2 linked regions of the Struthio camelus genome follow. The protein of the gene in region 2 purifies or fractionates together with the protein of the main gene of each other region. This does not show direct contact. Links are inferred from orthologs where the notes say so. Each region holds a gene or a part of one and is shown on either strand. Other genes may lie near its edges.

Evidence for each region.
Region 1: the proteins of MAP3K5 (region 2) and MAP2K3 purify together in Homo sapiens (co-immunoprecipitation; 4 studies listed by BioGRID and IntAct, with this or other methods). This does not show direct contact. The link is inferred for Struthio camelus from reciprocal best matches to the Homo sapiens genes MAP3K5 and MAP2K3.

Annotation. Positions count from the first base shown.
Region 1 is NC_090956.1:4,369,450-4,386,018, reverse strand, and holds the start of MAP2K3 (dual specificity mitogen-activated protein kinase kinase 3), read right to left. Parts: upstream 8,395-16,569; 5' UTR 8,289-8,394; coding exon 8,273-8,288; intron 4,295-8,272; exon of another isoform or gene 4,280-4,294; coding exon of another isoform or gene 4,267-4,279; intron 1-4,266. Other genes in the region: protein NATD1, read left to right, coding at 13,578-13,674. UniProt on the Homo sapiens protein: Dual specificity kinase. Is activated by cytokines and environmental stress in vivo. Catalyzes the concomitant phosphorylation of a threonine and a tyrosine residue in the MAP kinase p38.
Region 2 is NC_090944.1:74,127,773-74,143,749, forward strand, and holds the start of MAP3K5 (mitogen-activated protein kinase kinase kinase 5), read right to left. Parts: upstream 6,440-15,977; 5' UTR 6,290-6,439; coding exon 5,860-6,289; intron 1-5,859. Other genes in the region: PEX7 (peroxisomal biogenesis factor 7), read left to right, coding at 13,570-13,690, 15,149-15,206. UniProt on the Homo sapiens protein: Serine/threonine kinase which acts as an essential component of the MAP kinase signal transduction pathway. Plays an important role in the cascades of cellular responses evoked by changes in the environment.

The sequences.
Region 1 (16,569 bases), on a different chromosome or scaffold from region 2:
AAACTGAACTCCAGCACTGGATGTCTTTAAAAACAAGACTGGGTGTCTTTTTTACACAATCTGCCTTAATTCACCCGAAAGCTACTGGACGGGGGCTGCAGTAATTCCTGGAAGCAACTTCCTGACCTCTTGCCTGGCTCTAGCTAAGCAAAACGCTCACTGTAGCTCCTTTATAAATCAAGTGTTCCCTCATTTTCTCTAAAACACACTACAGCCAGCAGCACACAAAGACAGTTATGCCACATGGAGAGGCCCCCCCACCGCCAGGGCTTGAGAGGGACATGCTCCAAAGCAACCTCCCATCTTCTCTTGCAACAGGCTAGGAGTGGGAGACACCATCTGCTCCTCCCATAACACAGATATCACATGAAGGATCCTTGTGCTGTTAAGCCTATGGACAGGCACAGCAGCATGGGATTACTGGGGGAAAGCATGCTGGAGAGGGGCCATCCCCTTCCATCTTCACAGCACCTTGATCCTGCTCTGTGGGTCCAGGACCTCCCATGGTAGAAGCCACAGAAGAGGTTTGCCCTGCCCCGTCACTTCCCCACTGGGACCCCCAAATCCTATCCTTTCCCATAGCCACACTGTAACCCACCGCTTCCTGTTAGCAGCAGCATTTCTGCTCCCGCATTTTGCTGGGGAGAAGCGGCTGCAGACTGCTAGAGGAGGGTGCGTGCAGAGAGCCCCATCCCAGCTCCGGAAAAGGGAGCAGAGACAGACCCACTGCAAGCCAGGGCCAGCTGGGGCCGCAGGACGGTACTGTGCTATCAGAGATACTCACAGTAGTGCCAAATAATGATGGTTTTCCTCAGGGTGACCAACATTTAGACTCGCAACACTGCCATAGTATCAGTGCAGCACTCATCTCTATGCAGAGAAAGATAAAAAGCTGTGGGGAGATGGGGTATCTCCCAAGCCAAAAAAAGAACAGGAACTTCCAGTTGTCACCATAAAAAAAAAATCCTCTCTGCCTTCTTACCCCCGCCCAAAATCCTGGGCTAACACTTGACCTGCACTACAGAGCTTTGTCAGCAAAAGACATTGTGGGTCAATCTACCTTCACACTTACCCACAAGCGGTCCTGAGTCACGCTAGTAAAAACTCCAAACTTTTTGTTGGTGGGGTAAAATCACCTCCCGAGATAATGCAAGTTTCTCTCCCAGCTCTTCCCCTGGCACATTAGCGGCACGTGAGCAGCACCAGTGAAAACACTCTTCTGACAAAAATCCCACAGTGCCCCGACATCTGCAACTGTGGCCGCTCGGGTCGCAACATCACTGGGACGGGAAACCCACGCAGCCTCCTAGGCACGCAGCAAGGAGCTCTGCAAAGCGCCAATGGGTTTCCTCCAGCAAGGCCCACCTTCGCAAACAGCAGGGGCCCGGGCTACAGCAAACTCCGGCCCAGCCTTGGACCGCAGCCCAGACCTGGAAAATTAAAGCAGCGGCCTTCAGGGAGAAGCATTATCCACTGAAAAAGCAGGGGGGCATCCCTCCAAGGAAGAAAATGGATTTCTGCAGCAAAACTAAATATTTGTGATGTACAACATAATATTTTGCAGGTACCCAACACTTTGGCTGTCAGAAAGCAGCCCATTCCCAACATAGCACTAGGAAGAGGGTAGGAGCAAAGCCCTGCTCTCTCTCTTATGATGGTTATAATTAATCAGATGCAAGCTACATAATGCTTCAACAGAGTTAAAATTAAAACCTGACTTCATGGGTTTAGCACTCCAAGGCCGCCCCACACATTCGTGCATGCACACGCAGAGGACACCAGGCTGCCGGCTGCGCTGCCTGGATGCGGAGGGAGCCTAGAGGCGAATCCCCTGTTCCTGCAGGCTTTGTAGCAGAACTGGCTTTTTTGGAGTGGCAGCAAGAAAAGTGTGAATAGTACATAAGACACTACAGGATTCACAGCCGACTGAATTGCATAACCGTGGGGTACTCTGTGTGGAGGGCACAGCCTCGGCAGAGCCAGGGATGCAGCAGGGACTCATCCATGCTGCTTATTTACCTTCCCAGAATAAATGTTTTACCAGAACAAGCACCAGTTCACTCCTGAATTCTTCCATTTCTCACTGATGATTTTTCCAAGCCTTGGAGTTAAAGGAGAACTGCTTTCCCAGAAAAGCAGCCTGGCTTCAACTGGATGCTGTTCCCTTTCCCCAAGGGCATAACATGTCTCCGAGCACCCTAATTCACAGCTCAATTGCAAATCCTCACGCTGAAGCCCAGCACATCAGGAAACGCAGACCTGCTGCTATCCAAAAAGGGAAGTAAAAGCACGTGGCTGTGAAGTGCAGTGGGTCACATCCAGGCACCTAACAAGTTACTCATGTCTTCCTGGAGGAGAATTGCTCAACTAAAGAGAAGAACTTGCTTTTGAGCTACTTCAGCATTGGTGCTAGGTGAGCTCAGGGGAGGACAAACAGGTCCCTTCCCTCCAGCTCTCATCACTGCATCCTCCCTCCCTGCAATTCTGCAGCTCCAGAGCTGCTTCCTGAAGCAACCTCCCAGCATAGCAGTTGCAGGAGACACGCGCCTGCCCCAGGCACGTCCAGCCTGTCCCACCAGGAGGGGGCTGCCTGGACTTCCTCGCTTAGGTACCAGGGTCAGGAGGGAACCGAGTCACAGCACACAGACATAGTGAGAGCGGCTGCAGCTCTTCACGCAGGGCTGCACAGGCAGGCAGAAGACATGCCTTCAGCCCCAGGGAAAAATAGCAACCTGAATCTGTAGGCACACAACCTAAAACAACCTGTGCACCCTTCACCCTGCGTATCCTGCATGCTCTGCAAAGCTGAGGTTTCCTCCCCCTCTACTTTAACCTCTCAGATATAAGCTCCATCACTTCAGAGCATCCGTTTTGCTGGACAAGGTGCAGACGCTGTTGGAAAAACCATATCCAGGACCAGTCACACGTTCAGATTTGCTGCCAGTGGCTATGTCCCTTACAAAGCTCTAGAAGAAAGATACACATGCAGTTCCAGCACTTTGCATGTGATTCCTTCCCTCAATGCCAGCGATTTGGTAAATACAGCTCAGGCGAGTGTCGCTGACCTGAGACAAATGAGAGATTTTGCATATTTTAGTAAACTTTGGACTTAACAGTGCAAGATTACCCAGAAATAGCAAGTGATGCTCTCACACATATCTGATCCTGCAAGATAATTTGGATCAACCACACATGGGCAATGGGGAAAGGAATTAAGCTGAAATCCCTATCAAGCTCCACATAAGCCACACAAGGTGTTTATCTGAGAAGCTGTGTTTAGTCCAGAGCCGAGGAAAAGCTCCCTCGCCGAGCACCATTCCATTCACGCGTGTCATGGGCAGTCAGCTGCAGCTACACGCATCCCCAGAAACTCCAGAGGCAGAAGTCGATCCCATGACTAAGCCAAAAATGACAGCAGCTGAGTATTTGTACACATCTACCATTGAAACAGCCAACCTGAGAGCAACAATGCAGCAGCCTCCATTTATTATCCTGACCAACTTAAGCCTACGAAGGGGAAGCAACCAGGAAAAGGAAGCCCAAATCCACTGGATTTCCCTAAACAGAGATAGCTTAAATTCAGGCCATCCCAAAGGACCCCCAGAATGACTTAACATCAGTGCTGTCAAGGAGATGCAGTTTGTGCAATCCAAGTGGAAGCAGGCGCTCAAGACCTAAGGGTATTCACATGCGGCAACGCACGACTGGCGAGCCCCACTCAAAAAACATGTGTTTCTGAGGCCGAAGCAAAACCGAGGCCTGTCACAAGGGATGGCAGAGGCATGCAGCGACCGCGGTGGAGCGCTAACAGAACGAGAGAAGAGGGGTTTGAGAAAAGCAGATGCGTTATACATGTTCTGGATTGATCCCAATGCCAAAGCCTGCATCGATGGAGACAAAGGGAATAGACAGGAAAAGTGCTCAAGTCGGAGGAAAACCCAGAGCAGTCAATGCCAGCCAAAGAGAACTAGGGTACTCAGCACACACGTGACACCTCCACTAAGCAGTATTAGTAGTAATTGTATCTCAGGCAGGAACTGGTTCATTCCAAAGAATAACCCGCGCAGCCAGACACCTGCAAAGACAGAAAGGTTTCAAACTTCCTCCAAGAATGCATGTGCAGGTACCACACTCCCACAACGCTCCGACAGGCAAAACGTTTTTTGGTCAAGCACACAACTTCCTAGGAAATCCTTCCGGCACGGGCCTCCTCTCCCATGAGGAAAGAGAGGTCTCTCAGCCAGGCTGCTAAAGGAGAGAGCTCACCTCTTCCCTCCATCCACACATCTGCTGCTCAGGCTCACACAGCCCACGGCGCCTGCAACCCAAATGAGATCTGGCCTTGGACCGGGTCTCGACAGCCGTTTTAAGAAGCCCTGCTGAACCCTTCCCGTCTGGGAAGCCTGCTTGAACATGTGCTCTTACCTATGAGTCAGCAGCTCCATTCAAAACGATTATAAATCGCTGCTGATTCATACCCTACTTACACAGCAAACAGGAAACACAGGTCCACATTCTCTCCATTTAAGACATAGATCATTAAAAAAAAAAAAAAAAAAAAGGTCACATCGAGGTGTGTTCATCTGCTCACATGGTTCCTGACTTCAAGTTTCCTATGCATCACTCCAGAACAAGGGAAAAAAAAAAACCCAAATTTTATTCCAGTGATAAAAGAGAAGCAGCAAATCACACTTTCTGTGCTCTCTCCTCCCCGATTCTGTCCAGTCGTCGCTCACAGCGCTGATGCAATCAGCTACCTAGAGCTCTAAGGCATCAGCAAGGCAATTTTCCTGTCTTCCTCAAAACTTCCCCAGCAAGCTCATGGTGTCATCCCGGGCCAATACCTAGCAGACTGCGCTCACCTTAGGACGGCGACCAGGCCACCTTAGTCACAGCGATGCTCTATAAATAACATCCATGACACACAATCACGTTTGCCAGCCGCAACGGGAAACCCTACCAAGGTGCTTCTGACACACGCACATGTGTCAAGGTTCGGAGTCAGCGCCGGGCGTACCGGGAGATCAGAGCTCTGCCTCCGCCACCAAAACAAACACGCACGCCGCGGGCCGGCCATCCTCACACACTCGCTTTCCGTTTGGTTTTATTTCACCTCGTTACATTACGGGCTGCTGCTGGCGCCGCTCATCCGCAGAACGCCCTGTCCAAAGTTAACGACGAGGTTCGCTAAACCGCCACAGCGGTTTTCTTGGAGGGGGAGAGCTTCGCTGCTATCTTGCCCCCTGGAGCAGCCCAAGCAATGCAGCTGTGCTCGAGGCTCGGATTCTCCTCCTTCGACACAAACAGGCATTTCAACACTTCCATCCCCTTTAATTTCAGCAGGCTGAAGGCCAAACCGTGCTGTTTGTTCATGTTTTCCTCTAAGAAACACACACGTCCCAAATTTGGTACCTCAGGACGGTGCAGACAGGACAAGGGTGTAAGAACTGTGTCCCAGTGCCGAACCAGAAGAGGGGGACAACACAAAGCCAGCACATCCAAACAGCACAACATCCCCCAACTGGGATCAGGCAGCAGGTCACAAATACAGCTAACGCTTTGGAAGAAGCAGGGGAACATCACCTCCCATCTTGCCTCCACCATATAGTACCCAGCTTAGCGGTCTGGCCCTTGTACTGCAATTCAGGCTCAGTAAGTTTAGAACCAGTGTCGGCCTTGCTCAGTTTCTGAGCGTTCTGCACTTGCCAAGATGTTTCGACGGACAGAAAAACACGCTGCCCAATTGCTCCATCTGGTGAAATCACTCGTTTATCTATTCAGGCACCAACTTAAAAACAGCGAGTCAGTCCAATCGTTCCAACTGGCCAACAGAGCATTCCTGCCTACCAGCAACTTCAGATCATTTCAGCCCAGATCCTATAAAATCACGCATATGCTTTTAAGCACGTGCAAAGACGCAGCAAAATGGATGAGAACTGAGGAACCTCACGTGCATGGCCAGGTAGATCCACGTCTCTGATTCTGAATGGACAAGAACAGGGATGGTTGTCTTCAAGCTGTTTCCAAAGAGCTTCACATACTTTTGTTTCCGCATAAGCAACTTAATTACAAGGGAGGCAAGCCTGAAAGATTTTCTTTACTTCACCTAACAGAACTGCACTACCTATCAGCACTTTCCTGGCGGTACACCAAGAGTGCAGATAACAGGAAACTTATACACGAAAGATTAGGCAACAATTTTATATCTAGCATCCTATCTTCCCAGTTTACATAAGACTTAATTACTCCATTAAGCCTTAATTAAACCAATATTAAGACAAGGACCATCCAGTTGACACCTGAAAACTTGCATCACGAGGGGGGGACAACACGCTCGGAAAGGCCGATTACCTTGTCCCTAGCCCAGGCCGCGCCGGAGGCCTGCCCCACCACCTCTGTCAACAAACGCAAGGTCCAAAGCTGCGCCCAGACGCGCTCACCGGGTGCCAACCCCGGCTGGGGACATCCAGGCTGCACCGTCCGCGCGGGGAAAGCACGCCCCGCATCCCTGCTGCCAGGGGGGCCCCCGCAGGGCACCGCCGTCCCCGGGTGCCACCAAGACTGGGGCCACCGCGATGCCCGCGGCAAGTGTGGCACCTGGGGAGGCTTCCCGGCAAGGCCAGGGATGCTGTAGGACGCGCGGGGGGATGCTGTAGGGACGTGGCCAGGGATGCCGTAGGACGCGCGGGGGGATGCTGTAGGGACGTGGCCAGGGATGCCGTAGGACGCGCGGGGGGATGCTGTAGGGACGTGGCCAGGGATGCCGTAGGGACGTGGCCAGGGATGCCGTAGGACGCGCGGGGGGATGCTGTAGGGACGTGGCCAGGGATGCTGTAGGGACGTGGCCAGGGATGCCGTAGGACGCGCGGGGGGATGCTGTAGGGACGTGGCCAGGGACGCTGTAGGGACGTGGCCAGGGATGCTGTAGGGACGTGGCCAGGGATGCTGTAGGGACGTGGCCAGGGATGCCGTAGGACGCGCGGGGGGATGCTGTAGGGACGTGGCCAGGGATGCTGTAGGGACGTGGCCAGGGATGCCGTAGGACGTGGCCAGGGATGCTGTAGGGACGTGGCCAGGGATGCCGTAGGACGTGGCCAGGGATGCTGTAGGACGTGGCCAGGGATGTTGTAGGGACATGGCCAGGGACGCCGTAGGACGCGCGGGGGGATGCTGTAGGGACGTGGCCAGGGATGCGGTAGGGACGTGGCCAGGGATGCGGTAGGGACGTGGCCAGGGATGTTGTAGGGACATGGCCAGGGACGCCGTAGGACGCGCGGGGGGATGCTGTAGGGACGTGGCCAGGGATGCTGTAGGACGTGGCCAGGGATGCGGTAGGGACGTGGCCAGGGATGCCGTAGGACGCGCGGGGGGATGCTGTAGGGACGTGGCCAGGGATGCTGTAGGGACGTGGCCAGGGATGCCGTAGGACGTGGCCAGGGATGCTGTAGGGACGTGGCCAGGGATGCCGTAGGACGTGGCCAGGGATGCTGTAGGACGTGGCCAGGGATGTTGTAGGGACATGGCCAGGGATGCCGTAGGACGCGCGGGGGGATGCTGTAGGGACATGGCCAGGGACGCTGTAGGGACGTGGCCAGGGATGCTGTAGGGACGTGGCCAGGGATGCTGTAGGGACGTGGCCAGGGATGCCGTAGGACGCGCGGGGGGATGCTGTAGGGACGTGGCCAGGGATGCTGTAGGGACGTGGCCAGGGATGCTGTAGGGACGTGGCCAGGGACGCTGTAGGGACATGGCCAGGGATGCCGTAGGACGTGGCCAGGGATGCTGTAGGACGTGGCCAGGGATGCTGTAGGGACGTGGCCAGGGATGCTGTAGGACATGGCCAGGGATGCTGTAGGACGCGCGGGGGGATGCTGTAGGGACGTGGCCAGGGACGCTGTAGGACGTGGCCAGGGATGCTGTAGGGACATGGCCAGGGATGCCGTAGGACGTGGCCAGGGATGCTGTAGGACGTGGCCAGGGATGCCGTAGGACGCGCGGGGGGATGCTGTAGGACGTGGCCAGGGATGCCGTAGGACGCGCGGGGGGGATGCTGTAGGGACGTGGCCAGGGATGCGGTAGGGACGTGCTGGGCGATGCCTTCAGACGTGCCCGAGGACTCCTTGGAGCACAGCGGGCCACCTCTCGGGACGCGCCCGGCCCTGCCCCGCTTCGCGCCCCCCCGCACCCGAGGCCCGGCGAGGCCCAGGCCCCCGCTGCGGGCCGCCCCCAGCCCGCCCTCCCCGAGGCGGCGGCGGCGGCGCCGCTCTCCTACCTCTGGGCAGCGACATGGCTGGCGGCGGCGGCCCGCAGCATGCCCAGGGCACGGCGAGCGCCCGGCGGTGTCCGGGCGAGCGCGGCCGACAGCGGGGAAAGAGCCGCGGGGCGGGGCGAGGGCTGGCCAGGCACCGCCCCCCACCGCCGGAGCTTCCCTTCTATTGGTTGTCTGGAGGGAGGGGGCGGGGTTAGGGCTCGGAGAGTTTTATGGTTCTCGGGCGTGCGGCTGGAGGGAGGCAGGCGGGCGGGCGGGCAGAGGGAGGCTTTCTCCTCCATCTTGCCCCCAGCACCGTTGCGCCAACCGCCCCGTTGCACCGAGGCGGGGCTCGAGGCCGCTCGGCTGCCCCGGAACGGCGGCTCGGGGCTGAGGGGAGGCTACGGGGCCTCGGCGAGGCTGCGGCACGTGGGGCCGCACGGGCCTCCCTGGCTGCCGCGGGCCGTGAGCCACGGCGAGGCCTCGGAGCCTTCCTCCCCTGCTCGGGGAAGCCATCACCCTCCTCCTCCTCCTCGCCCGGGGCCCACCCGAGAGCCCCGAGCCCGCCGTCCCGTGCAGGGCCGTCCAGGGGCCCAGCACCAGCAGCCCCGGCCCGTCAGGCTCGTCGGCCCGTTCGCGCCACCCGGTCCCGCCGCCCCGAGCCCACGAGGCCCCTCGCCGCTCGGGACCACGGCGGGGCCGGACCGGCCCCCCCATCCGCCGGCGGGGGCCCAGCGCTTCGCACGGCTGAGACCAGCCAGCTCATCACGTTTCCCTTGGGACGGCTGCTCTGGGCGATACCCCTTGTGCCCCCGCCGAGCTGCCCCGGCCCAGCCCGGCCCGCTCACGCCGGCGTCCGATCCTGAAGGGCGGCTGTGTTTATCGCAGGCGCTGGGGATGCACGGAGGCGCGCAGGCCGGGCTGGGAAGCCAGCGGGAATTCGTTCCTCGCCCTGAGTCACCACAAAATTCCTTCAAGCCCAGCAATATGCCCGGGCAGATGCCGGCGGCGTGAGGGGGCTCTTCTTCTGCGCCTGCTGCGTTGCAGAAAGCAGTGGCTGAGCAGGACACGAGTGACGTAGCGGAAATGAGCAAAAAGCAAGTTGGGAATGCAGTTTTCTGGCAGGAATCCGCAGTGTGATCCGTCCAGGGACGGAAGGAGGGGTCGGAGAGGCGGCAACCCTGAACGCAGCCTCGGTGAAGTCGCAGCAAGCCCAGTTCCAAGACGTGTGTTTTGCGAAGCGTTTTGCATGGGTTCAAGGACTGGAAAACCTGTCTCAGAAACAGCGCACGGGAATCGCAGCAGAAGCGGAGGAGCTGGGTGGGCCGTGTCTATGCAAAGGAAAGATGTCCCGCCTCGAATGGACCTTTAATCCGGCCGCAGTGGTGTCAGAGCCAGCAACTGGAAACTGAAGCTAGAAAAGTTCAAATGGGAAATAAATTACAAATTTTTTAATGGTGACAGCAATTACCTTCCCAAGGGATGTAGTAGATTCACCACCTTTCCAGTCTTTCAACACAGACAAGGAGTCTTTCTAAAAAATATGCTCCTGTTCCAACCACAAGGTTATTAGTGGTGAAGCAAGAGCTACCGATGTCATTCTTTGGGCTGGGTAAGCAGGAGATCAGATCATCATGGACTTTCCTGGCTTTTAGCCCTACAAACCTCTGAATCAGCAGTTGGGTTTGAACTCCAGACTGGCTGATCCGAACAGGTTTGGGCTGGGTCAGTATTTGGGTGTGAGATTCGCTGGATGCCACTGCAGAGAGAAGAGCGCTCCTTTGCGCCTTAGCAAATAGGAGACTCCCTTGTCTCCAGCTGGAAGGGCACCTGCAAGGACCGGTGGGGCCGGCTTCGGCAACGTAACACCGGAGACATCTTGGCCGTTGTGCTCCCCGGAGCCTGGGGGAGCCCTTGTGAGCGCGGGGCGCAACCCTTGTGTCTAGGAGCACGTTTTGTGCTATGTGGTTCCTCCTCCTTTCACCACCAGGCACGGCAGGAGATTGCTGCCTGCTCCAGCCTGGGCTGCAATTAAAGGGGTGGATGAAACAATCGCCTCGTTTTATTCCTCCTCCTTGAATCACTGGGGAGTTTAACCAACAGATGTTTGTAACCTGCTCGGAGATCTTCAGACGCAGAAGCGCTGCAGAGGTATGAATGGGAATTTGGATGCGCTCAGCATGAAAATCGGACAGGCTGGCAAGGCACTGGGGCTAGGGAGAGAAGGAAAACTCATGAACCATTGCTAGCTGCAATGAGGAGAAGGAGAATGGTCCGGCCGGAAGGGCAGGAACAGGACCAGAGGCAGCATTTGAGGGTTGGTCATCTCCTCTTTGGAGCCAGGGCCCAGTTGCCTCTCATGGGCATCTTTCTCTTTATTTTGCAACCTCTAGGTGTCTGCCGGAGTTGTTTCTTTTGCCTGCAACTCCTCCTGTCTGTCTGAGCTGCTCATCATCAGATCCAACCGACTCACTGCTGGGTAAGTGTATCGGAAAGATCAGAGGGAGCTGTAATTGCTGGCCTGAGGCAGAGGTAATCATCACAGGCAAAGGCAGAGCAAAATGTCCCAGCAGAGCTTAAGCGTTCCCAGAAACTTCCGCAAGGGAGGTAGATTTTTAGCATTCCTGGAAGGCCACTCCACGTTTCGAGAATGTTATAGGTAAATCTGTGGATTTTGTAGGCTCTGGAAGGACGGAGGGAAAAGGAGGGAGGTGTGGGTCAGACCGCACTGAACACGCTGAGGTCCTTGCTGCTGGCGCTCGACGCTCTGCACTTCAGTGGCTGGCGGCCTCGCTGGAGGAGAGAGCTGGGGACTGTCCCCAGCCCCGCTGCTGTGGCGCTGCGCCAGGGCGGGTTTGAGAGCCGCCAAGTGTGCGGCGCCCGCACAGCCGGATGCAGCACCTGCCACGTCCCCTGTCACCGCAGAGCAGGGAAACCCAGCGGGGAGCTCCCCTTCGTCCACGTGCAATACGCTTCTCCTTTCCATCCCTTCTCAGGATCCCAGCCACGCATTTCCCCCGAGCCCCTCCTGCAGGCTCCAGGGCATTGGCACCCCCTCACAGCTCAAAGCCGGGTGCTGGATTTGGCCCCTGTCTCCACCTGCGCCAGGCTCCCCCATGCCCTTGAGCTCATGCCGCTCATCTTCTTCCTCCCCACAAAATCACAGCTGTGCTGGGCCCTGCTCTTTACAGCCTGTGTTTGGCTTCCCTTGCGTTCACGTGCTCACAATGTTTTGCCATCTTTATCTTCCAGCATCGCCATACGGCCTGGAAGCACGGGCTTAGCGAAGGCTGCTGGGAGGGAGTAATTGATTCCCCGCTCGCCCAGAAGGCCTGTAACAAAGGAAGGAATTGAACCTCAGCCACAGGCTTCCTTTCTCCCCGCCGAACCGCCGCAGATCTGCCTAGCGACGTGGGACGCATTTCTTAACCGCTTTGTGCCGTGACTTACAAAGGAGATCACACCGCATACCAACCACGCAGGCACGCCGTGAAAGCGGCTAATTTGCGTTTGTTAAATCTCTCAAGGTCACCGGCTAAAGAGCGCAGGAGAAGGACAACTTCACGTTACTGACATTTTCTAGCCTTTCACGTACCAGGAAGGTAACGAAGCCTTCTCCCACCAGAGCCAGCCCATTTCTGCAGCCTGGCAGGTACTGCAGCTCCACGGGCTCTGCTGAGCGGTGGCGCGCAGCTCCGGAGCCTGCGTTCAGCACAACGCCTTGGCATCAGCCCGGGTCCATGGAGCGGCATGAGCCAAATAAACCTGCTGGCCTGAGGAATCAATCAGTCTGTAAACTCTTGACTTCAGGGAGTAGGAACCAAAGGGATTAGTAAATGAAGGCCTAACTTCACAAGGCATTATTTAAGCGCAGACTACGCTGATTATCTATTCCACTTTATAGAATAATTCTAAATATTGTTACTTTTCCTATTATACAAACAGCCACCACCCTGCCCCACTGCACTAGCTGTTGCGCAAACACTTTCTATAGATGCAGCTCCTACCTCCAAAAGCTTTCAGTTCAAGGATACCAAGATTTTGTTGCTACGGCTCAACAAACAAGGAACCAGACAGCCTATTTCATCAACCAATTTTGCATATAGTGGATACACCGATTTCATTGAACAGACTCTGATTTACACAACATGGTGCATGGAAAGTCAAGTTCCTTATGTTTCAAAAGATGCAATTAATGCAGCCATCCCAAATACACTGTCTATGGTATCTGTGCTCCCCACACGCATGCTCAGGTGTCTGTGGTATCCTGTAACAGCCAACATACACAGTTTCTCCTGCTTTTGCAGCCTGCTTGTCTCTCAGGACAAGCGCCCCAAGAAGCTGGACACCCATGCAGCACCGTTTCTGTAGCCAGCCCCTTCGGGAAGCCTCGTGGTGTCTGTGGGGTTTTCAGCGCTGCCTACAAACGCAGCCTGGTGTTGCCCTGCAGCGGAGTGTTCCCACAGCCCACCAGCATGCGGGAAAAGGCACCGCGCTTCTGGAAAGGGGCATCACGTGAGGTGCAGGAATTTAGGGTTTGCACCATACCCCAGAGCAAGAGTGAGTATGCTAGTAGAGCAAACCAGTGCAGCACCAGTACACCACCCCAGTGCACTCATGCTGCACCAGTACACCTCTACAGAGTACCAGTGTAGCACCAGTACAACCATGCAGGACCAGTACGCCAGTGCAAGGTACCAGTGCAGCACCAGTACAGCCATGCAAGACTGGTGCAGGTCCAGTACACCAGTGCAGAGCACCCAGCACAGTAGCAGCACAGCAGCGGAGGACTGCCCAGCAGAGCAGCCCAGCACCAGCCCTGCACTGGCACACCAGTGCAGAGCACCAGTACAGCACCAGTGCAGGGTACCAGTGCAGCACCAGTGCAGCTATGCAAGACTGGTGCAGGTCCAGTACATCAGTTCAGAGCACCCAGCACAGCAGCGGAGGACTGCCCAGCGGAGCAGCCCAGCACTGGCACACCAGTGCAGAGCACCAGTACAGCACCAGTGCAGCCGGCCAGAACCAGGACTGCCGAGGCTGCTGGGGCGCGCGGCCCCTTTAAGAGCCGCCCGGGCTGTATCAAAACAAACGCGCGGCGCGGCCATTGGCTGCGGCGCGGGCACGTGGCCGCACAGCTGGTTTCCTGCGGCCGCGGCGCGGCCGTGTCGGCTCCAGCGGGCGGCAGCGGCGTCCGCCCGCCCCGGCTCGCGGCTCCCGGCTCCCCCCGCGCCGCCGCCGCCGCCGGCTCCTCGGGGCAGGGCGGAGCGGGGCTCGGCGCTGTCGCGGCGTCGGGCGAGGGGCAGCGCTCGCCGCCCGTGCCGGCACCATGGCGCACTCGGCCCCGCTCGGCCTGCTGGAGCAGAGCTGCCCCATCCGGGTGGAGCACGACCGCAAGCGGCGGCAGTTCACCGTGCGGCTGAACGGTGAGGGACGGGGCGCACCGGCCCCGGCGGCCCCCGGCGCCGCCCGTCCTGCCCCCGGCGCTCCTTCATCCCCCCCCTGCCCCCGACACTGCCTGTCCTGCCCCCGGCGCTCCTTCATCCCCCCTGGCCCTGGCGCCGCCTGTCCTGCCCCCGGTGCTCCTTCATCCCCCCTGGCCCTGGCGCCGCCTGTCCTGCCCCCGGCGCTCCTTCATCCCCCCCCGGCACCGCCTGTCCTGCCCCCGATGCTCCTTCATCCCCCCCTGCCCCCAGCACTGCTTGTCCTGCCCCCAGCGCTCCTTCATCCCCCCCTGCCCTGGCTGCCCCTATCTGTCCCCTGGTGCTCCTTCATCCCCCCCTAGCTGCCCCCTGTCCTGCCCCCATGCTCCTTCATCCGCCCCTGCCCCCGGCACTGCCTGTCCTGTCCCTGGCGCTCCTTCATCCGCCCCTGCCCTGGTGCCCCCCGTCCTGCCCCCGATGCTCCTTCATCCCCCCTGGCCCTGGCTGCCCCCATCTGTCCCCTGGTGCTCCTTCATCCCCCCCAGCTGCCCCCCGTCCTGCCCCCGGTGCTCCTTCATCCCCCCCGGCCCTGGCTGCCCCCCCCCCGTCCTGCCCCTGGTGCTCCTCCATCTCTCCCGGCCCTGGCTGCCCCCCCTGTCCTGCCCCCGATGCTCTTTTATCCCCCCCTGCCCCTTTGCCCCCTGTCTTTCTCCTGATGCTCCTTGGTGCCCCTTGTTCCCCCCCCCCATAGCACTTTTCCCCTTGGTTCTTTCCCCTGTCCCCCCACCCCCCCAGTTCCCCCCCTTTCTCCCCTGGTGCCCCTTTGCACAGGTCCCCCCTGGGCTGGTTTCCCCCCCCCCCCCCCCCAGGGCCCCTGGTGCCCGCCGGGCCCCATCCAGCAGCTCCTGGGCTTTCTCAGCGCACCAGCAGCTCCCCCTCGTTGAGGGGGTTTGGGCAGGTTTTAGGGGCTGGTTTGGCACCCTGTGGGTGCAGGGACCTCGGGTGGGTGGCGTGGGGGTGCTGTGCCAGGGCAAGCATGGAGGACGTGCCTGATGTATGAGCCGCTCGGTTGCTTTTCAGGTAGGATGGAGGGGGGTGGATTCACGGTGGGAAAGCCCCTCGGAGATGGGAACGGGCCGTGGTGGGAGTGCCCACGTGGTCCGGCAGGACTCGCGGCATGGAGCCGAGCTCCCCTAAGCGTCCGTGGGACTGGGGCCCTCCAGCCAAGGGAAAGTGCATAAGCCGAGCTCGCAGCCCGGGAGGAGATTCCCATGCGGCAGGTACCGGGTCTGTCCAGTGTCTCGCAAGCTCTCGGCAGCGGACAGGGAGAGCTGGCAGAGCCGCTCGTGGGCCTGGGGCAGCATCTGTGCCACCTGCGTACGTGGGCTGCGTGGCTCCAACCACAGCCCCTGCGTTTGCATCCGCCCCTGTGGTGCAAGTGGGTGACGGGGCGTCAGCGTTGCCCGAGTCCCTCTGGCCAGCCCGTGCCTCTGTAGATGCTTTCAGACTCTGGACTGTGAAGATCCGGTGACGTGACAACTCCTCTGAACAGCCTTGTTTTATTTTTTGGAGAGGCTGAATAAAAAAGTAGGTGCTGCTGAAATTTCTCTTTAAGCAGGCTAATTCTTTTCCAGCCATCTCTTTAATGGTTAATTCCAAATATACAAAGATCTCGAGGTTTTTCTTGTCCATTTGTCATGTGGAAAGCTACTCTGGGGAAAATAGGCAATTTTACTGCTCTACAGAAATTGCAGGGTAGTTGGCCTTTTTTTTTTTTTAAAAAAAAAAGGGGGGGTAGCTAGTTCAGAAATTATATACACAGTAGGAGACATTCTCAATAAAACAACAAGAATAGTCTGGATTTTATTTTAGACTTTTTTTTTTCCCCTCCTTCAACCACTAATTACAAAGTGTAGGCTCGAGGCTCAACAATGGTGGAGCAAGGAAGGAGGAGACATGTATGCAGGGTGCGGAGAAACCGATTTCACCAGCTGCTTATTTCAAATGGGAAGAGATCAGACTAGGTCCCAGGTGATGAGTCCCTGCTTGACATAGCAAGAGCTATAAAGCAATGCCACTCCTGGAAAGCTTATATGTGCACACGAAAAAAAGAGATCGAGGAGAGCTAAGGACCAAAAGTTTCTAGGGTAACATGATCTTTTTATCACAGTTTAACAAATAAAATCTCTGCCAGTCAGATCACTCACTGAGTGACCTGCAGTGACTGGGCAGGGGAGAGTTGGGCCTTGGAGAGGGTGAACTTCAAAGTGGGGAAAATCACCTGTTGATACCACTGAAGTGAGTTGGCTGGTTTCAGCCGGCACAAAACTCTGCTTCAGGAGGGGACTGCCTTGGCTCAGGAAAGTCATGGACTTCCCCAGGGCTGCAGACAGATCCCAGGGGTCAGGCTGTTTTGTTTTGGTTTTTTTTTTTTTTTTTTTTTTTTGGTGAGCTCAGCAACCGAGTGGCGGTCCAAAAGCTTGACTTGATGTTTCAAACGTCCACTCTTAATAGTGAGCCAGGGATGCTGCTGGGTACCATCTCTGTCTTTGTGCAGCTCAGGATAGTTTGCAGAAATGGAGCATCGTTAGAGCTGCCCGGCGACTCAATGCTGGCTGCGTAATAAAGCAGAGCTGGGCAGGACTGCAGAGACTGGCGCAGAGGTATTCGGGCGGCTGGGTTGACCAACATCCATGCAGTGTGGATAATCTGTCGCTCCTTGTTCCTGATAGGCATTTGCTGATAACAACCAAACCCTAGAGTGTGGTCAAGAGATAGCCGTCCCCGTGAGAGTGCAGGGGTTGGTGTTTGTTTAGTAGCTCCGTTCATTGCTCCTGTTGCTGGCACGAGGAATATCAGTGGGACTGAATGCTCTTGCAGGTTTTCCTTGCTGGACTG
Region 2 (15,977 bases):
GTGACTCTCTAGGCATGACACTACAGAAAGAGTAGTTATTTAGCAGCAGATGCGGTGGGGGGAGAAGCGTCCAAATAGTAAAAAATGCGATGGACGCAAGTGCTGCGTATTCACAGAAGAATGTGCAGCATCTCAAGTGTCTGACGAAACTCTGCTAGTGAAATTAAACAAAAAAAAAAAATCAGGAAGTACAGAGAATAAATTAGTGAAGAAACTAATTGTTTTGAAAGAGAGGCAAAGTGGAGTGGAATAATACTCGCAGTTACTCTCTCTCTGGTACTATAAACAGCAGATGCTATGGGAAGCATGCCTTTTTGCACCACGGAAAACATTTAAGTCAACTTCTTGAAATCAAGAAAATAAGTTTTTAAAAAACACGCCTTCCTTTGAGTATAAGAGGAGAGCCTGCATTGGTATGTCATAATCACAGAACTTCCAGGAAACTTATATTAAGGCATAAATCACTTAAAAAAATATTTTGTTTGACGCCTGAAGTGCTTAGCATGCTAAATAAAAGATTCTTGAAATTTAGCATCTCTAAAGATAAATAAGAAGAAAATGCCGGAATGCAGATGAGCTCTGGTACTGCTCTACTTCATTTCTGTGTGCCTGTAAATACTTCAAGGCATGATCCACACAAGTTGTGTGAAGCATGCAGAAAATAATTTAGATGCAGAACATTTTCCAGGCTGAGTTCACTTTTACATACGCGACTGCACTGACTCTCTGAAGATTTGTCTTTTGGGGCCAAGATTCTCCAACTACATTGCAGTAAGTGTTTTCACGTCCAGTGAGCTGGCACCAACTTTCTAGCCCAAACCCACATGAATTCCAAAAGCAATGATGCTGAATTCCAGAAACAACAATATGAAGCTAAATCTATTACCTGTTATTTGATAAACTCTATTATCTTATTAAATCATTGCTACTATGGGGAATTATCTCAATAGCTCCAAACAGCATTGCAAGGGCCATTGATCCATGAAGCATGAGTGTAAAAAGCTAAAGTGAAAAAAAAAAAAAAAAAAAGAAATCGCCTAATATAACACAATAAAGTTACAAGGAGATATTTATATAACAAGCACATCAGTCAAGATGTTTAGCTTTAGAATAAGCTTAAATGAGTGCCTGCACAGATGTGAAACCCCAGATCCTCCTCAGTCGTTGACTTTGTGATCTTTCTTACCGCCCATCAGTTCCTCTGTGAGACTGCACTCAGAGTCTGCAGAAAATTTGATATATTGTGCTTCTGACTCTCATAGAATTGCCATTCTTCCAAAGAAATTAATTTTGCTGAATACCAGGTGAAAACGTTCTATAGCTTTATCTGGCAAGGCAGACAAGGAGGTGGAACGTACACCTGACAATACTAAGCAAATGGTCTATCTATGCACTAAAAGCAGTCAGTACAAGTGTCTGCACAAAACAATGACAGAATGCTGCTAAAATGTATCTCTAACTCCTCTGAATCACATCTAATTTCTCCCAAAATTATGAGATTTCTTACCTCTTTGAGAAGAAAGAGCAAAATCTTCACCTTTATACTACTGTACTATACACATTATTCCAAAAACCTTTCTGTATTAGTTGGCTTGGTTCTGACACTTGTACACCACTTATTTTGTCAGTCAGTTGAGCATTCACCCTTAATTCACCCTGTGCTGTAGAATCCATATTATTTAAATGTCAGATTACAAGTCAAATGAGACATTCCTTTAACCAACTAGACAAAAACAGGTGTAATCCTAAAAGCCTATGTGAAAAACTCACCCTGACTTTGAGCATTTCCCTCTCATGAGGGGCTTACAAGAACAGATCTGGTAACCCAGATTGCCGATTTATGTTTATTTTCCTTTATGGTCCTTGTTACTTAAAAAACAACAACGACGATGACAACAACACTTTGTTCAGTTAGTCCATGATGTATTTGCTCCTGTATAATACACAATGACCGTTTAAAAATCTGCATAGAAAGCAAATCATTCTAATTTCAATGTCCTAAAAAAGATTATGTGAAAGACAAAATGAATTGCTTACATAAACTAAACAAACTATGATTAGTCTATATTCCTTTATGGCCAAGTTTTCAAAAAGGAACTGAGCATTCAAAAAAACATTAACCGAACATGCGGATCAGGTTATTTTAATGTACCGAACATACACTTGAACTATGAATAATAATGGTTATAGTCATATGGCGTTCTAAAAGTTATTATCTACAGCGTTATATAGATAGGTTTCTCTACCTTATTATTTGTTTGCATGTCTTTAACTACTCGGTTCTCTAAACATTCCTGAACCATTTGGAAGTGAAGCTGATGACAGAGACCTATAATTCAACTGCAGCAGCTCAATACAACTGAAAAAAAAATTAATCTGAATACTCTCTTTATGGATAAAATAAGACCCTGGGACAGCTGGTCAGCTTCAAATACTTTGAAATTTGCAAGAAATCAGACTAGATTTTCTCTTTTCACCTTAGTATCTAAGGGGAGGAAAATACAAGAAACGCTGAAGTGTCTATTTTTGTCAGATACTTTTTGGCAATAGTTACTAGGGCTGATTTAACACTTGCTTCTTAAGATTCAAATTTTTTCCGGAATCAAGAGGAATTTAAACCATGCAAGCACAAACGCTAGTATAGGCAAATTCTTAACTATTTGGTGCTGGAATGGTTCAACTATACATAACTAAGACCTACTCACCAATCATATGCATTGCTAATTATGTCTCAGCATTTAAGGACCATCAGTTGACTGAAGCTGGTAGAACAAGATTATTAATAGGCTAATCTACATTAGAGCGGATGAGGAGTATTTACATATGGGATTAGTTTTTATTTAATACTCCTTCAAGTTCTCTTTGAAGTAGTGAAAGGCATGGAGTAAACCTACATCCGAGATCACCAAGAGTTCAGACTATGTTATACAAAGCAGAGACAAGATATTAAAAAAGGAGAGACTGATGATGGACAGGTATATTATACTAGATCTACTGCCCCCCCCCCATCAAAGTTGACTTGCATGCACTGCAAGACTTGAGAGGTTTTACTGTTTCATTTAATTCTAACAAAGTTACAAGCTTGATTTTCCAAACCTCCACACAGTCTTTACCTACTTTTGTAAGTCCAGTAAGACTTGGTCACTTGAATAAGAGTCAATTTGAAAACATTTGTAATGATAAATCCTTCCGTGATGTTAGGTCATGCTGTACTATTTAAATAAAATGTTGTGCATGAATATAATGTACCGGGCAGAGATTCTTTATTTGTATTACTACTATCATCACCTTCAATCACTGAAAGCACATAGCAAGAGAGAGGACAACAAGTGAAATAGGGAGATAGTTGATATGTACTTGTCACCTACATATGCTTTTTGATTTTGTTCCCAGTTTAAAAAAAGAAAAAAAAGTCTGTGCAAGAGTTACACCCTGCTCTCTATTTGCATTCTTCAGCTGACATAGCCTCTACTTTTTAACGCTGTCTTGTTCCTAAAATGATAGTTATTTTTTACTAGCTTAAACTTTCCAGAGAACAACTAGTTCTTAGAAATACGTACTGTACATAAAATGTGGCAGGAATAAGGAAACAAGTACGAAAACATTCAGATCTTTCTAGATCCAAGTTCCAACTTCAAAGTCAACAGCACAAAACAGTTTTTGGATCACAGCTGGTTCATGACTCCTCGGCTCAGAAGGTATGGAGTATACTGGAAGCAGATACAAACTCGTTCTCGTGTCCTGCTCTTTTCAGCCCATGATCTGGATGTGTCTCTCAGTTTTTTGCATATTTATTAGGCTTAGCTACTAAAGCACAATGGCAAGGTATTTTTCCTGTTTTGCAACACTTTGATTAAGTTCCCATAACCAAGCAGTACTGAAAGAAAAAGCAATGTTTTCAATGTTAAACAGCTTGCTCAAAAGCCATTGAAATAAGCAATGTTATATTACATAAGCGTGCAGTTATGCAGTGTTATATGCCAGACGCCTACTGGCAGAATTCAAGGGGCCCACTTTCAAGTCAAATCTCCCGTTACAAGAAAAGCCTCTGTGAACTACCGAGACCCAAACCGCTGTAGAGTCCAGAGTGTAAAAACTAACAAACATACGAGGCACGCACACACAAAAAAAAAAAAAAAACAAGACACAGATAACCCAACCGTGTGAGCGTGTTATGATACCGCTTCCATGGTGAAACAAAATGAGACCCTCAGGTTTTAACTGCCCACCAATTAACAAGTGTCAGAGTTAAAATCTGATCTCTCTACTCTGTACGGGGAGAGGGTAAGAGCTACACTGGAGCGCTATTTCTTCCCATTTCCATTCGCTAGCATAGCCCCTTCCACTTCTGAAAACATTAACTCTCAAGGCACAGTGCTGTCGGAGGTACAAGACAAGCAGCTACACACTCCAAAACCGTCCGTCTCTCACTGAACTGAAAGCAGTAGTCCAGGAGACAAAGCTTCTGCAGTTTCAAAGAAGTAACATGCATATGCATGTTCATGCTGAAAGAATCTTCTGTGGAAACGGCCTACAACCCAGCTAGATTCTTTTCTTTCTTTTTCCCTCCCTCCTCCAAGACGGGAGGGAACTCCTGTATTAGCCAAAACTTTTAAAGTGCCCATTTGCCAGTGTATTCCACACACACAAAAACACACCATACAGTAGGCTTAGAATTCTGGGTCAAGTCAAGTTGCTGCTTCTATTTTTTTAAGGCAGGAAAACATTCATTCGGTAGTATAATTTTTCAAGTCTTTACAAATCTAGTAAGCAGCTGTTTTTATTCTCCATTCATTTTATGTATCTGCTAACAAAAAGAGAAATACAACAGTAGGAAGCTTCGGGCTATTATTTAAAAAATAGGGCCAGGTAAATCATAACAGATAATCTAGGGTCACCATGGTTTCAAATTAAGGAGCTGCAATTGTATGTTTATGAAAGCAGGCAGACGGGTGAGAGGATGCAGCACAGGGATGTTGTTGCCAGCTGACTGGATCAAGGCACTTTGTTCTACCCCATCCATCATAAACGTTGTATGCAACCAATATTTGAAGTACGAACTTCCAGGCACAAAAAACACACAGAGTGTCCCAATTACGCTGAACCTACTGCACAAAGCTGCCGAGCCCTTGCAGCACCTAGGCACTTCAACCGCAGCTCAGCACTTCAGCAAAAACCTGCCCCTCCCCCCCGCGTTTTTTTATGGTGATCGAGAAAAAGCGGTCAGGTCCTGCTTTATGCATAGGTTAAAAAAAAAAATGTACAAGTTCTTGCAGTCCTGACAACTGCTGATTCACAGCACGCTTGCTGACACGGAGTTTCTTCTCCAAAACACGTTGGCGGCGGGGGGGAAGCACTTGGCATACTTTGGCAGCAGCGAAGGGCCCGGGGGGAGCCGCGGCACCGCGGCTCGGCGCCAGCCCAGCGCCCAGCACCGCAGGGGCGGCCGGGGGTCACCGCCGCGTTTGGGGCGAAGGGGGGGACGAGCCCCCCCGCCCCCGGCTCCCACCCCACCGGCGCGCAGCGTTCCCGGCAGCGGCAGCCCCGGGGCCGCTGCGCCGAGGGCTCGGCGACCCGAGCTGACCCCGGGGGAAGGGGAGGGCGGCGCCGGCTGCCGCCGCTCCTCGGGGAGCCCCGGGCAGCCCCGGGCTCGCCGGGCCCCTCCCGCCAGGCGGCAGCGGGAAGGGGGGCGGTGCGGGGCCGCCGCGAGGCCTCGGCCGGAGCCGCCCGGGAAGCGGCGAGCCGAGCCGAGCCGAGCCGAGCCGAGCCGCGCCGCGGCGGTAAGGCAGGAGGGACGGCGGGGAGCGGCGATAGTAGATCGGGCGGGCGGGGAAGGGGGGGGAAGGAGGGGGGTCTCACCTGCGTTGTAGAAGCGGTCCAGCACCGCCGTCTCGCCGAAGTCCAGCTTGCCGAAGTGCAGCGTTTCCAGCGTGGCGCCCACCACCTCGCACGCCTCCCGCAGGCTCTGCAGGGCGCCGCTCTCCGCTGCCAGCAGCGGCCCCTGGCTCGCCTCGTTGATCACGTAGGTGACCGCCGTCCGCCTGCCGCCGCCGCCGCCGCCACCCTTGGCCCGGGCCGCGATGCCCGTGCCGGCGGGGCAGGCGGCGGCGGCGGCGCTCTCCTCGCCCCACAGGCTGCCGGCCGGCAGCGCGGCCAAGTCGGGCAGGAGGCTGCGGGCACCGCCGTCGGCCCCTTGCGCCCGCCTGCCGAGCCCTTCCTCGCAGGGGGGGCCGCCGCCCGCGGCGCTGGGCACCGACAGGCTGATGATCCCCTCGCTGCTGTCACTCATGGCCGCGGAGGAGCCGCCGCGGCGCGTCCCGGGCGCTGCTCCCGCGCGGGGCCGCGGTTAGGCGGATGCCATGCTGCGCCGCCTGCCCCGGCACGGTCCCGGCGCCCCTGCGCGCTGCTGCCGAGCTGCCGAAGGGGAGAGGCGGCCGGGCGCAAGTGAGGGGCTCCCCCTCAGAGGTTAGCGGAGGCTGCCGCAGGCAGGGAGACGAGCACAGCCTCCTCCGGCGCCGGCCCCCGGCACCATTGCGCGCCGCTCCCTTCTCCCCCGCCGCCGAGCGGCGTCACCTGCCGGGGCGGCCGGGCGAGCTCGGCCCGGCCCGGCAGCGCGGTCCTGCTGCCGCCGCCGCCGCCGCTGTCCCCCCGCGCCTCGGCCCCCAGCCTCTGCGGGCGGGCTCCGGGCGAAGTTGGTTGGCCGCCGGCAGGAACCACTTGTGGGATTGCTATTAGGCGTCCCCGATTTAGCCGAGCGACAGCTGCAAAGCTACTCGCGGCTCGGGCAGGGGCGGCCCGCAGCCACCAGACTCCTCCTCCCGCCCCGCCTCCGGCCAGAAATAAAGCAGCCCTGGCGGCGCTTTGGGCACTGGGGGCTCTTTGGCCAGTCGGGCGGGCGAGCTGTTCCGCGGCTCCGGGGAGCCCGGGGTGGGGGGCGCGGCGGCGGCAGCGGGTTTCGGTTAGGTCGGAACGGTGCTCGGAGCCGCTCAGGGCAGCGGTGGTTTTTGCCTCACGAGAGGGGAGGCGAGAGGGCCGGCGTCCCCCTTTGGAGGGGGGAGGGGGTGCCGGCGGCGGTTGGGGCCTCGCGCGTCCGCTTCCGGGCTCGCGCCAGGCGTGTGGTAACGGCCGGCGCGGGCGGTTGGGCGGGAGGGAGCAGAGGATGCCTGTCAGCCGGCGGCCCTTTCCCCGCTGTGTTCCGCAGAGCTTTATTTTTAATACCGCTTGTAAAAGGAGCCTGCGTCGGGCAGGGCGAGTGTGCTGCTGGGTTCGGGTTGTGCTTCCCCCCACGCTAACAGCCGCTGAGGTGAAGCCGGCCCCGACTTGCCTGAGGTTTTAATACGCGCTTTCACTTGCAGATGTTAGTTTTATGCAGGCAGGGGCTTATTTAAGTTAAACTAAGTCATGTGTAGTGACTCGGCATCAGCCTGATCCCGTGCTCTGAAAAACCGAAGGGAATTTTGGCCTTTACTTCAGGATAGTTCTTGTTGCCTTTTTTATTTTTTTTATGCACATCTTACTCCTAAACCCTGATAGTCTAGTTAAGTGAGTGGCTTTGCGTTTTGTGCAGTTAAGGGTTGTCAGGATTTAATAATCATTAACCCTTGTCTTCTACTCTTCTTCCTGTTTAAACTTTCCTCTCTTTGTGTTCCTGGATGGCCTCAAGTTGACTGAAGGTTTTGTGGCTGCCTGCAGCAGTACCCAGCTCATACTTCTTTTTAAAAGTGCCATACTGAAAAGCTACTCTGTATTTTGCTTAAATATATTGCATTGTTGTGTTCACCTGGAACTTGTCTTTCATGAACACTTTGGCATTTGATATTTAACAAATACTTCTTCATGGAAAAGCAAACTAATCTGAATAACTAGCATATCACCAAAAGAAGCGTTAATCTGGTGTAAGAGTCTTCCCAGTCAAGAAAGAAGAAAAGATCCCTTGATAGTTGAAGTAATATATATAATAAATAATATATAATATGAAAAACTTGCCTAAAACTTGCACATTGTTTGCAGGCCAGGAATGAATCGCTGAGAAATTCAAAATGGATTTGAAAAGGAAAGGAAGTTGAGAGTTTTTGCAGTCTGTTTCTGAACAAAAATACAGTGAAATCCTAATGATTGTTAGATTTTCTTTGGATTGGAGGAATTACATTAAGTAGATCCAGGAAAAGCATGGAGGAAAAATAGTGCTCTACATATTTATAGCTATGTTTGTTTGTATTATCAGTAAGTCCATCCCATTACAATTCATCTTGTTGAGACTAATCATCTTGTTGGCACTGAGCCTGTTCCTCTATCGTTGTTTTCCGTGACTGCTCTAGACAGAGGATCAATTCTGGAATAATTAAGAAAGATTAGTCACTGCAGTACCTTCAGTAGCCCTGTTTGCTTTTGCGTCGATCAGTCCTTTTTTCCAAAGAGATATGCCTGGCATTTGCTTCTGCTGATAACACATGGGTAAATGGGGTGAGAAGACGACGAGCAAACTAAAGACCAATTTACAGGTAGAAGTTAATATTTGTTAATCTGCCAGATACAGTAGGTTATTGTTTCTGGCTACAGTCAGGATGGCAATCAGTGTTTTTCTAAATAATGTAGTTTTCCACAAAACACAGAATCAGTGTTAATCCATTCAACGCTACAGTTGCATCACATTACAGGAAGCAAGAACAATATGTCTCTGTGGTGTTCTTTAGAACAGCCCATGTTTGTCAAGCGCAGAAGGAAGTCATGGACTGAAAGAAGGAAGAAGCATGCTAATTCACTTAGCGTTACTGACTTGTGAGCCTCACTTCATTACTAATGCCATATCCCTACCACGTTCAAGATAGCTCTATTGATTTGTCTGGGGTTGAGGCTGGGCCCTTAACTGAAAACAATTAAAACACTGATTAATATGGAATAGTAGACACAAATTGTCTATGCTTTTATAAAGGAAAAGCATATTTCTTTAATCTGCTAACTCCTTGAAGTGATGATTCATATGTTTAGGAGCTCTTCAATTTAGAAGTTTGATTAGAAGATGATCATTCAAAGGATTTTTTTTTTTTAAAACGGAAGTAGTATCCCGGTTGTTATCAGAAGTACGCTTAGCTTGTTCACTTTGTTTTCTGGGTGCTGTGCAACTAACATCTTTAGCACTAAGTATGGAATGTGGCCCTGCTTCCACTCTGATTTTTTCTGATGACAGAACTTTTAACAAGCAGTTAGATGTAAAATTGTTGAAATAAGAACCCTTTCTTCATTATATGCTTTTACAACCATAAATCATTGACCTCTGGATTTAACCAAATTATGATTTTCAACATCCAAGAATTTGGATGTTAGTTTCAAATATAAATGCAATTATTGGTAAGTGTCAAACAGTGTGTGACAGACATCAGAGATTTGATTTATTCACTCATACTAGTAATAACGAGACCCAAGTCAAAAAAGGGTAGTTTCCCTGAGCGTGTTCTGATTTACAGAAAGTAAACCTAAAATACATGTACAATGAAAAACGCTCTGTCCGACTTACGTTTTCAGTGTGATACGGCCTTCAACATCCAACAAGGCTGGCAGAAAAAAGATTCTAGAGTAACATGCCCGTTGAGTTTTCTTGATGGTTATTGGGTTTTAAAGCAGATGCTAAATTTCATCCATATTTTAAGACCCTCTTATTTAACTATACGACAGCATACAAAAATGAGAGATTAGAGATACGCTGTAAATTTTTCACTAATAAGCAGGAAAAAAGGAGTTTGCAAAACCAGAGTCCAATGTGCTTGAATTGTGGGTGGAAAACAGAGTATATAAAGAAACTTGCAGATGCAAAAATCCAAACAAGAGATCTTGAAAGTACACAAACTAATCCTGTTTCCATGAGCTTTAGAACAGAACTCTCACAAGCAAATAGATACGATCACTGAAATAAACAAATTGTTCTTAAAAGTTAAATCTTCTACCAAATGAAAGTTAAATATATCACTGTAGAAAATCAGAGGTATCCTTTATGTTCAATATGGAGAGGGCAGCATTTTGCTAGCAGAGTGCCAGCTGCCAAGTTTAAAAAGAATGGCAAATGCAGGATGGAACTAAACATTTAAAGCAGTTCTTAAGTACTAAGAAGCTGGAAAACAGAGACTGGTGGTCATTCTGCAGGGATGCAGTTGATCGTGTAACAGTAGTAATAGCATGATAAATTCACTTATCAAATGATGGCATGGCCCCCACAAATGGTAATCAGCTAAGACTGATGGAGCAACAAGGACACGTGGTGGGGGGTGGCTATTTCATCAGTTATTACTGGCCTTGAAGCCCGTGTATTGTGGAACGACAGACCAAGTGTAGTGAAAAATGTGCCCGTGGCAAGTCTCACGCTTCTTGCTAAATCTCCCTGTCTTTCTTCCTCCCTTCCAATGTGTTTCCCTCTTCTTACTTCTATTCTTTCAAATCCCCCAGGACAGCGTCCATGCTAACTGCCTTGTCCTTCTACTAACCTCGCTTTCCCCGTGTGACTCTGTATTCATTCCTGCAACCTCCTTTGCTTTCCCCTTTCCCCAACTTTCCCTTGTTTACTTTCACTCTTGCCTATTTTTGCAATCTTACCATGAACCTTGAGACACTAAATGCTTTTCTTAAAGCTTTGACTCATAGCCCCTATTGATTACACAGGAATTTCACCTGGGAAAATCTCTACATTCCTATTAGTCAGTTAGCACTCACTATCGTAGAAGAAACTTGATAGCATGCAACCTAGTGGCTCTGTAACTAGAAAGCAGAAAAAAAGTCTCCTGCAGTCCCTAAGTATTCTTAATGTTTTAAACCACCTATCCTCACAGCTAAGGGAATAGTTCACAACCTGCTTTCTCCGGAAGAAAAACTCTCGTCATAATTCCTTTCAGTACTTGGACTAGTGCCTTCCTGATAACTGTTTCTGGCAACCAGCGAGGTTTTTTTTAAGGATTTGTATATACAGCAGTGATCGTTACCAGCTCAACTCACACCTAAGCTAGCTGTCAGTGAGCAAGCTGAGGAAATGGTGGAGATATGTCTGTAACAGAACAGAGCTCAGCAGACTGGGAAGAAGGTAAACTGCGTGCAGAGATATTGCTGTGAGCATCCCAACTACCTAGTCTAACTCTAACAAGGGAGATGGCTTAGAGAAGTGACTGCAGGAGGAACGTAACTAAAAGTTATATGCTGATTAAATGGGAATTTAGTTCAATGAAGTGCGCTTGAGTTAGGAAAAAAATCTCAGCGTTGTGAGGGAATTTTTCTCTCGAACTGTGGGATCTCAATTTTTAAGTGGAACATGGCTGCCACCTACTGATGCATTCTGCATACACGTTTTTATCTCAACTTTGGTGAAGGGCTGGCTGTTGGAACATTTCTGTTCTCATCTTTCATGTTTCTTGAATTTAGCTCACCTGTTTCAGGAGGAAATACAGTCACGTTTAGCAGTTTTGTTTGTTGGATCTTTCTCTCTGCTTGTCAAACAGCTTTTTCTTCAGTTGTTAGTGTATCTGCCTTGAAGTCTTCCTATGTAAATACTTTTACTTGGCATATTATTTTGCTTCCTACTTCTAGGGATCTTAAAAACCTGAATTCACAAGCTTTTCTGTGAAAAAATGTTTAGGGAAGTGTTACAACAAACTAGGTCCTTCTTTCAGGATTTCTTTGTAACCCTCTATCCACTTCTTGATATGTGTCTAATTTTTTTCTGAGTTGTCTTTAAAACAGAGCTGTGCCAGTCGTAAGGACAGCTTCCTGCTTGCATAACCTCTTTGTGGAATTTTATTGATTCTAAAAGATGAACTAGATTTGTCGGCTACTTTGAAAATGCACACGATGAAACTTTTCCAATACTTGGATGTATGCGTGGTAACTTGTCCATAGAGTAGCTGGAGATTACGCCACCGAGTACTTGAACTCAGAGCAAACCTTTGCAAAAGGCCACGTCCAGATTTACTTAGTATACCACTGCAGAGGGTATATATCTTTTTGAATGGTATTATTGACTTTGCAGTCACAAAAGACAATTACTTTAAAAACACCTGCCAAGGAAATTGCCTTGTGATGTGTGCTTCCAAAAGGCACATTGATTTAAAAAGATTTCGCAGAGGCTAAAGTTGGTGGAATTCGGCCTGCAGCAGTCAATTCAATAAGGCATTGTGTTTGAGTGTTAAAAAAAAACTCTGCTTGAGTGTTAAAAAAAAACTCATCTCAAATGATGTCTCTCAGTAATTCCATCTACAAATTGGTAGTTGTGAGTATAGGAGCTGCTGTGAGCTTTTGTGCTTACTATAAGCACAATGATATGCTACATTGAGCTTCACTTGCACTGTTTGGATTGATTTTATTCTAAAATCCTGGAGGCTGTTTGATAAACATATTTGTTTTCATTTTTATCAGGAGATCAAATAATTAGTAAAACCGCATAGTTCAGTGATCGGAACGTGAGTGTCAGTTTAAGGAGTTATATATTCATGAGGCTTTACAATAAATTTTGTAGTTTACAATAGGTTTTGTAGTTTAAATTTAAGGCTGAGGAGCAGCCTGAGTATGTAGTTACCTTCCAAGCTCCACGAGGTGACTCTGATTAAATTGTCTTATTCCCCTTTGTCTTACTTCCTTCATGTGTAAAATAAGAATTTCCTGTATTCATCTCTACACATTTAAATTGGTCATTTTAACTTATTAGGGTAGCCTATGTCCAATTGGAATCATCTCCATGAATATTTTAAAGTCCTATATCTCACATAGGATAAGATATATCAGAAGTTGCAGCTGCTGCTCTGCTCAAATATTTTTCTTAGCCCGAACCCCTCCTCCTTTCAGAGGCAAAACTCCCACTAGCTTAATAGAAGTTGTCATCGGTATGAGAAAATTTGTTTGTTTGTTCATGAAAGAACCTCAATAAAGCGTAACTGCCTCACAACAAAGAATGATAAATACATGCATACTGATATACGGAGATCTACTCAGCAAATGACAGACTGAAATAGCTTGGAAGAGCTTTTTGAAAGAATGACAATATACCCACTAAGATCAAAAAATCACATTTATTCAAACAGAGAACGAGGTGCTAAGTATCTTACATGGCGTATAAAAGAAAGGACTGTCCACGCAGTTTGGAAATCTTTTTCTCTAGCAAACATAGTTTTACAGAATTATCACAAAACAATGGGTAGTCAGCGCTCGGAGGCCTGGTCCTGGTCAAACGACCTTTGAGTACATGAATCACGCAGGCATAGCTGTCACTGCGCGGTAGTAGCGAGTAGGACGGCCTAAAATTACGGCTTGTCTTTGAAGAGACCCGAGAAGAAAGCCGCAGCGGACACGGGCCACCGCGGACACGACCCGGCCGGCCCCGAGAGGACCCCGAGGAGCGGCGCCAGGAGGCGGCGGCAGCGTCACGGCCCGCCCGCCTCCGCCACCGCCCCTGCCAGCACCAAAGATGGCGGCGGCGTGGCCTCAGCGCCGCCCCCGCGCTTCCAGCCGGGCGGCGCGGGCGCGGCGAGGCGGCGCGGCGCGGCGCGGCGGCGCCTCCTTCCGTCCCCGCCTGGGCCGGGGGGGGCGACAGGCCGGGCCATGGGGGCGCCGGGCGGCCGGGCCCTGCGGCTGCCGGGGCTGCACGGCTACGCGGCGGAGTTCTCGCCCTACTGGCCGGGGCGCGTGGCGTGCGCCGCCGCGCAGTACTACGGCATCGCAGGTGAGAGGCGGGCCGGGGGGGCGCCGGCGGGGCTGTCCGCCCGGCGGTGCGCGGGTTGCGTTTCCGGCGCTGTTACGTAATGAAGAACAACAGCAACAGCAACGGAAGAAGTGGTCTGGCCTGGTTACCTGCGGGCGAGACCGCTTGCGTCGAGTCGTTTCGCCCTCTCGAAGCGTCAGGGCGGGGGCGGCCGTCGCTGCCGCGCTCGCCTTGCGGTGGTGGTTGGCCGCTCTGCTTAACTGGAAGCAGCAAGGCTTGGGTCGGTTGCTGTTCTACTGTTTATCAGACACAAGGTCTTCCTTTATTACGGTAATTACGTCTGAAGAGCAGGTCAGGCTTCTCTGCAGTGATTGCCGTGAAGCGGGTGGCCCGCGCGCTCACGAGCTGTGAGCTGAAGAGCCATGCAAACGTTTGCTGCCTTCAGAGACCGGCAGTCCGTGAACTGCGCGCCTGTGTGTCTGCACGTGTAGCAAGTGGCTTGCGAAGCATTTTATGTTTTCCCTTTCTCTTGTTTTTGCTTCGCGTGGATGTAACTGATGCATCTGTTCTCTTTCCGTGGAGTACAGTTAATTTCAGAACAAGCTGCAAATCTGATGCTTGCCCCGAAGTCGCCCACCAGCTAGGTTTTCCTACTTAAGAAAATAGAAAACAACTTTTTTAAAAAAAAAGTCTTCTTTTTCCTTTTTTTTTTTTTTTACTTCTAATAATAACTTCTCAGAGGAGTACTGATTTCATAGGAGTTGGAGTAAATGCATAGTAGAGGAGACAAACATAGGTTAAATAAAGTATCTGAAAATATTTTCTCCTTAAAACTTTAATTATTCTGTTCTCAGTCATTGAGTTGTTCGGGCAAGGCCTGGCAGCTCTCTGCAGCCCTGCTGAAAACCCAAGCTGAGCTTTTTGCAGTATTGGACCCCTTTTCATTTCTTCTAGCAGTATTGTCTCTAAAAGCGATAATTTTAACTAAAGCTTCTAAATGTTACTTTGATGTTATCCCGGTCACATAGAAGAATAGTGCCTGTGTGTATTTTCTTAGAACTGAATTCTTCATTTTATTTTTGATGAGCTGCATTTGTATTACCAAGTACCCTTTTCAGAGAGAGAGGGAGAAAAGTGTTGCATTTGTTGTGTTGTCAAAAGATCTAAAGGAGCACCATCCTGGTGTGCTTGTAACATAAGGCATGTGGATGAAACACACGTTTTATGCTTTCTTTACAAGTGAGTTGTTTCTTTTCCAACCTTACCCACAGATGTACTGGGAGAAAAAAATATAAATGAAAAAATATTTTAGAGGCATAAAGCAGAGAAAAGGAGCTGTTAATGGCAGAAGCAATTAGTTGTAGGTGTAAAGAAATTCAAATGCCATCCATGTTTGCACTGTATAACTACCCCAGAACACTAGCTTCTACTGGCATGGGGGAATTAATTGTGATAATTTGTTTTATTTTGTTGTTTTAGGTTGTGGAACTCTGGTAGTACTGGAACAAAATGAAGCTGGGATTGTTCTGCTCAGAAGGTAACATAAGTTTATTTTTACTAGCTTGAAAGTAGAAGTTTTAGCTTTTTAGGAGCAATGCCTTGCCACCTAAATTTGTCCGCTTCTGAATGGCTGTATTGGAAATGGAGCAGAAAGTGCATGGGCAAAGTCATTCAGGTGCTTTCTAGGAGCTATGGTATTCTAAGAATTTGACTTGCGTTCTGGATGGGAGAAGGAGTAGAAAGGTTAGGAGGGAGGGGGTTTAATACTCGGCCATTGTTCACTTAAAAATGTCTTAAAGTGTAAAACACCATTTGTTTAGTTTACTCTGACAGCTGAAATAGACACATGTAACAAACAATGATGTAGTTTATCATGTTCAGAGAAGCAATTTTAAATTCATAATTATACAGCAAGCCTATTTGCAGCTGTTAAACACTCGATTAGTTCTGCTACATGCTCTGGTTTAGTAATGTTCATTTCAATGTTTCCAGAGACTCCACTTACTTTGTGGTAGAAAGTCCTGTCATTTTCTGAGCCATGAGCTATGTCATGCTCTCTACAGAAACTTTTGGTGTGCATGCTTTTTCCTAATAATTGCTGCAGGGTCCCATGAAGTTAACTTGAGCTTAGCTGAGCCTTCAGTAAGAACGGGGTAAATAACTTCATATTTACCATGAGATAGCAGCGTGGTCATTGGCAGTTACTGCAAAGCAGCTGATGGGTGGTATTTTTTTCCCCATAGGATGAATTGTTGGTGTGTCAAAGCCCTTTTAAGGGTGTAGGGAGATCTTTAAAATGTTCATAACT